Linked DNA regions of Schizosaccharomyces pombe. The protein of the gene in region 1 purifies or fractionates together with the protein of each later gene. This does not show direct contact. Each region holds a gene or a part of one and is shown in the gene's direction. Other genes may lie near its edges.

Region 1 (3,467 bases):
ACAGTTGATGAAGAATATTCAAATTTTTTAATTGGTTCTCGAACAGGATCGCTGGCTTTGTACAATATTGGTGAAAGCAACTACCTTTCTGTATGGAGGAGAATTCATGAATTTGATGCAATTTCATCCATTCACATCAAGTCGTCAAAACGTGATTACCTCTTAATTCAAACAGTCGGACGTGATGGTTATGTCAATTTATTTTCAATTCCGAGGGTAGAAAAAAGTGCTGTTCCTCAGGAGCTGTGTTCGAAAAAATGTTGTGATGGTATACTAAGCGGGGTGAGTATTATCTTTAAGAATATACGGTTCATGGTTCAGCTAACATATGCTAGGGTTTGTGTAAAAAATTAAAAAATGGAAAGGAAAATCAATGGGTTTGGGGTTTTCATGCATCAAATTTTTTTTTAAGGGATGAGACAAATGAAACTAATGTTTTCTTTATTGATTGTGGAGGTAGTCATCGTCCATGGGCTTTTTCAATGGAGATGGACATTCAAAGTTTTGCATCTTATAGAGCAAATCAACTTTATATTTATAGCACTGCTTTAAATCTTTTGCAAAGAAATTCTGTATTACAAAATGGTTTGCATGGGCGTGAGATTCGAGCAATGGATTTCAATCCTTCAGGGGATCTTTTATTATCAGGATCTGAAGATACTAAAGTAACCCTGCTTGAGTTTCAGAGTAATGGAAACATAATTCCTCTGAATTCTGTCAAGTTTCATAATTCAGGAATCCAATCGCTGACCTGGTTTAGCGATGATATTTTATTTTCCACTGGTGGTCTTGAAGAGTTAAATGTTTATAGGCTAATACAAAAGCCAGAGGCATATCTGAAACGGATCGTTCATGAAAAACTCTGCAAACCAAATAAAAGTAACAAGACTTACGATGGGGATCTTCGAATAACTGACATTTCTGTTGTAAAGGCAACCCATCTGGGTGAAAGAGTGTTATGGATTAATACTGTACAGTCCGATTCGACTATCAAAGCATTCACTTATAACGTAGATACGAAGCAGCTAAATTGTATAAAAAGTTGGAAATATAAGACAGTTTGTTTGGTTTTTGCCGAGGCTGTTATTTTCGGGTCTCATTTATTGTTGGTGGTTGCTTCGACTGATGGTAATGTTGCTATTTGGAACACATTTTGGAGGGATCCTCAAATTGAGCCATTAATAATTTGGATAAAAACAGTGCATCAATTTTGTGTTAAGTCATTAAATATTAGCAGGGATCAAGATGTGTTAACGATTTCTACGGGTGGTGATGATGGTGCAATTTCTCGATCTATACTTTTGTTAGAACAAATAAGTGAAAATTCAGTAGTAGTCAATTCTTTACATAACTACTTTTTTGCTGAAGCTCATGCTTCCAGTGTTACAGGTGTTTTATCAATTACCAAAGAGCTTTTGCTGAGTGTATCCATTGACCAAAGGATATTACTATGGAAAGTCGAGGGTGATTCATTGAAACCGATCCTGGAAAGATATACTCACGTAGCTGATGTGGGTGGCATGATCCGAAATAATGATTTTTTGATAATTTACGGAATTGGTTGCGAAGTTTTTAGACTGGGTTCTTTACGATGATTATTTGCTCAATAATGTCTACTACTCGCCTATTCATTCAGTTTACTCTTATACACTTCAAGGGACCTATCTTTTCATTTATCATGACGATGGTTTAAAAATAATAAATAATTGATTTGATTGAAAGGCGGCACAGCATTTATCGGTATTAAGTATGTGTAGTACTCATAATTTCTTTGTCCTCGAAGACAAAGAAACATAACAGTTACGTGTCAAAAATTTCTTTGTTTCAAAGTATTATAATAGACTTACATTCCATAATAGTTCTTCTATCCCTAAACTAATTTTGCTAAAGTAAACAATTTAAAATTACGGTTTAAGAATGGAAAGAGGAACTAGTAAATTCAGCTGGATTGGACTTGTTGCAAGAATATACAACTATATTCCTCATCCTAGTATTTTTTCGAATGCTATTTTAGGAATTGCATGGCTTTTTTTAATATTTTTATGTTGCAGCTGCTTAACGAAATCATCTATTTTTGCGAGATTACTAAGAGTAAAGAATGAAACAACCACCGTAGACGTCGGTTTCTTTGGAGTGTGTGATCAAGCTATTAATTCAACGTCTCGAGTTTGCCATGAGCTTCGAAATTGGGATCAAACAACTGGTGGTTTAGCATATGAAACTTCGAGATTTGCGTGGCTTCAAGTTCATCCTGTTCTCCTCGCGATTGTTGTTGTATTTTCAACACTATCCATTGTTTTGACTATTTTAAAGTACTTGGCTCCTGCATACATACGCCAATGGTCAATAAGTTGTTTAACTACTAGTACAGCCGCCTGTTTGCTTTTAGCACTCCAAATGGCTTTAGCTCATATTTCGGCTAATTCATATGCTGTAGGAATGAATTTAACTGGGAAAGCTACAGCAAAATTTGGGGTAGCTGCAGCAGTTTTTGGGTGGATTTCCAGTGGATTCTTTTTGCTATTTTCGCTAATACATTTGGGACTTTGGACTATTGAACGAAACAAGCAAAAGTTATTTGAAGAAACATCTCTCTCATTTAGCTTGTAATTATTACGAAAAGAATGTTGGACGACATTGAAATGACTACTATTAAGTAAAATCGCACTTATGATACTCTTTAAACGTATATGACAGATACCCTTTTGACTTTTTTAAAACTATAACTAAATTTCATTTAATTAACACATAAAACAGCATTACTACTAAATTAAGATTAATTGAAACACAATACTTCATTTGCAAAGACTATTAAACAAACATAAATAAGATTTTGTAAACCATATTACTAATTTGAGCAAAAATGTATTGAGAATTAGCTTTTAATGAATCATAAACCATTAAATATAAATTAACTAATGTTGAAAACAGACAATCTAAAATTGCAAATGTTACGAACCAAACGATCAGATGTATATGCCTAAGATTGGTAATCTAATTATAATATATTGAAAGTGGGAGACTTAAATAAAAAAAAGAGAAAAGAAAAGAAAAGTAGCATAACTTAATAAAGGATATTTTTGAAAAGGGATGGAAAATACTCAACTTTACTTGCGTTTTGTTGGACCAGTCATAGGAGAAGCACGACCAGCAGTCAAATCATCATCGGAATATTTCAACGACGATACATAAGGTCGTTTGTATCGAATGTCATATGTACATTCTTTTCTGATATTTGTACGAAGAATCCATCGCTCGGAAGGTGCTAATGTCTTCCACTGCTGAGCTCCAATATCTCCAATCTCCGATTTTACAATACCAGTTGACATGGACACGTATAATATAGTGCCATAAAGAGAAGGGATATCGGCGACATCAATTTCGTGTATTTTTTCACAGTCATATCCTTCTGCAGCCTCAGCACGCACCGTCCAGTACTCGTCACGATATCTTCCAATCGCCGTAAC
Region 2 (3,542 bases), on another chromosome or scaffold:
AGTCATAACCAATACCATGTCGAGCTTTTCTACGAACGGCAAAATCACCTCCACTGGTGTTTTGGGTTTCAAAGCACAACCTACCAACATACCCTTCTCGTGAGCACGGCTGATAATTTCTTCATGCTTCTCTGTGGCTTCATAATGAAAGCAAAATAGACTGGCTCCAGCATCTGCCAACTGATCAATATATCTTTCGGGTTCAATAACCATCAAATGACAATCGAAAAAGGCCTCCTCCTTGGTGTAATGGTTACGCATAGCTTTCACAACAATGGGTCCGATGGTCAGGTTAGGAACAAACTGTGCGTCCATAACATCTACGTGTAACCAATCGCTACCATATTTAAGCATACGGCCAACCTCTTTTTCAAGATTGGCAAAGTCGCCTAACGTGTGTTAATACTTGAATCAAACACTCAAAATATTCGTACCTGCTAACAAAGACGGAGCAATTTTTGCCTGTACCATTTTTGAGTCCTAAATACAAAATTTTTTGAGTCCTTGAGGAAGAGTATTTGGTATATAGTAAAGTGAGGTTTCGGTGGAGCTGATGTAAAGTTAATTTTATCAGTACTATCAAGTGACCGCTAAATACTCCTCATTATAAGTGTATTTGAAGGTTAAATGTGATATGTTTATGAAAAATAGAAAAGTTTATATGTCGGTAAGCAGCATGAAACAGTCGTACTGTACAAATCGGTCAATAGGTGAAATGCCTAATAAAAAATAAGACTTATAATATTTATGATTTTAAGCTTCTGAAATTTTAATTAGATTGTCTTTCATAGTAAATAGGTCTCAATAGTTGAACTCGGCTTACCATACTAATTCTGACCAAAAAGTATGATGCTTATTTTTTATATGCAACGCTTCACAGCTTAGTAAGAAAAAGTATATCACAAGTCATCCTACAACCTAATTTAGAAGTCAAATTGGTTAGGATTGGGGTGGGGAGTTTATTTCTGATCCATACTATTTACTACATCTGCAAAGTATTCACAATGACAATAAAAAAAATTATTTCGAAAAATGATCCTTTGATAAGCATCCTAAGCTCTCCTTTAAGACAAGACTTGGCAACGCACTTTTTATTTCCCAGAGGTAATCTTCTTTTTTAGTTAGTTTTAATGTTCGGCTTACTGACAATATAGAGCTATTAGCGAAGTTTCCTGCAAGGAAGGATACAAATCCTCGAAAATTTTGTTTGTTGCCATTAGAAGGAAAAAACCATTTACATAATAAACATGTTTCTTTATACTGCTTATTATCGGATAGATACTTGCAACCGCCGTCAAAGCGCATTTTCAAGCGCTGGAACATGGAATTAAATAATTTGAATTGTCCTGATATAAAAAGATACATACTTGAGTCATTACAGGACTCTTTGTTAAAAGAAATATCCTCATTAAAAGAAACTTCAACTCAGAATCATTTACATTGTAATGATATTAAAATTTTACAAGATTGTCTAAGGAGACCTAACATTTCGAATGGTGGCATATGGGTGCAATGGAATTTAGAAGAAATTAATCAATTGAAAAAGTTTCTCTCTTTTAGAAAACTCTATCCTCGTCAATCGTTTATATCGTTGTTACAAATACTGCCCGAGCCCTTTTTAAAATCGCAATTGAGTCATACGCTACCAGTGGGATCTAAATATTTTTTTGTTCCTTGCGACAAGAAACATCATACCTTGGGGCTTTTGCTATGGAAACTTTTTTTTCTCAAAGATATGCCCGCTGCGTATTCCTCATAGAGTCGAATGACCATTGACGAACTCTTTGTTCTCGGGAACAAAGAAAACACGAAGACAATGAAAAAAGCAGATTTTTGAAAGAAAGCTTAGAAATATATTATGTCATTAATAATTTTTTTGTTTACTTTAAAACCTGGCTTGGATCTTCCTTGTTCGTCTTTTCAAGCTACTTCCCTTCATAGCATCGCAAAAAGCCATTTGAGATAATTCTGTTGTGATTAAATCTCCTTAATTTTACTTCAGGATTTGCCTATATTTTTGCTTACTGAAGGCTTTCACGAACGTCAAATAATTTACCTTTTTTTAAAAAACATTCAACCTATTCATTCAAAAAAACCAGTTGACGAAAAGAGTTTTTGTATCAAGGACAAACAAACATCTACATTTAATCACCATGCTGTTTCTTCATTCAGTTGTACAAGGAACTGGAACTCTTTGCACATTAGCTGCATGGATTTTACTTGCACTAGTAATGACAGGTTGCCAATCTAGTACCACCTCGAAATTCCAGTTGTTTTCTCTTGCAACTAACGTAGCCCAAATTAACGTTGGGTATTTTAACATGTGTGTACTTTCTGCTAATGCGACGCTGATCTGCAAACCTCAATTTACTGGTTGTCCTGGGTTGACTTCCATTAGCTTAACGGATGTAAGGTCTAAATTTCTAATCAATGAAGTTCACCCTTGGATGATTGTCTTTTCATTTTGCGTATGCGGTGTTTCATTTCTTATGGGTGTTGTTTCCAGCCTTCCCTTAATAGGGCGTTTGGAATTCCTGAGAAACATTCGTATAAGCCTTTCTTTTTTCTCCTTTTTTAGTATACTAGTAACTGCTTTGTTTGCTCACGTTGCTGTCTCCTCTTTTGTGATGGCTGTTGGAAATGGAACACAAAATCGAGTTACTGCATCTCTAGGCAAAAAGGCTATGATCTTTTTATGGTGTTCTATGGGACTTGTGACATTAACAGGTATCACGGATTCTATTATTCTTTTGGTTACTTCAAGAACCAAGAAGATTCGTAAGACGATACTGGAAAAAAGCAAAGTCCTTACCCCTAGTTCATCCTTTTCTAGCAAATCCTCAACAACAAAGTATTAAATTATGCGCCTCAACTATTATTGTTTTGAGAAGATATGACCTTTCTCACCTTGTTATATTACATTATGGCAACTGTATTCATCTGTACTTGTTTTTTGTTTTTACGTTTTTTCACGTTCCGCTTTTTTTATGATTTTCTTAACGCCTCTTTTTACGATTAATCTCATCTTGGTTTATTTATGTATATGTTTTCACACTGCACTTTACTTCATTTCTCTTTTGCACTCATTTCTACTTACCGCACTTGAAACTTTCATGTCAAAAGCTCATATATTCAAGTCAAGATAAAGCTGTTTAATATTTCATTATCAATGACTAATATCGATTAAAACAATCATATACATTCTCTTTCCATAGTCTTTTTATTTAGAACCTATATACATACGCATCTTTACAAATTATACATTCTTCAATTGATTTTTTGCATAAATCTGATCAACTGTATACTTCTGTAACAGTTTTTTCGTATCTTACAATCGTAGCTGATAGAAAGAAATTAAAAGAGATATTAAATGATTTCTGCCTTGATTATTATTCAGTAAAGCAATTACACACTCTAACTCCCTTTTGCGTTAGTTCCTACCATCAATAAACGAAATTTTTGTAATGATAGATCAACCCTATACTTCGGAGTAGAATGTAGCGTCTTAAGCATAATGATGAATGTTGATCAGATACTTTTAA

The links.
Region 2: the proteins of dni2 (region 1) and dni1 purify together in Schizosaccharomyces pombe (affinity purification with western blotting, with the first as the bait; one study listed by BioGRID). This does not show direct contact.

The regions. Positions count from the first base shown.
Region 1 is NC_003423.3:1,182,510-1,185,976, forward strand, and holds dni2 (claudin-like protein Dni2), read left to right. Parts: upstream 1-1,917; coding exon 1,918-2,606; intron 2,607-2,757; coding exon 2,758-2,815; downstream 2,816-3,467. Other genes in the region: protein Trm734, read left to right, coding at 1-282, 336-1,595; SPOM_SPBC4.02C (rRNA methyltransferase), read right to left, coding at 3,108-3,467.
Region 2 is NC_003424.3:2,995,300-2,998,841, forward strand, and holds dni1 (tetraspan protein, claudin Dni1), read left to right. Parts: upstream 1-2,153; coding exon 2,154-2,858; downstream 2,859-3,542. Other genes in the region: rpe1 (ribulose phosphate 3-epimerase), read right to left, coding at 1-389, 435-471; rrg8 (protein Rgg8), read left to right, coding at 1,005-1,104, 1,155-1,759. UniProt on the Schizosaccharomyces pombe protein: Cell membrane protein which plays a relevant role in coordinating membrane organization and cell wall remodeling during mating.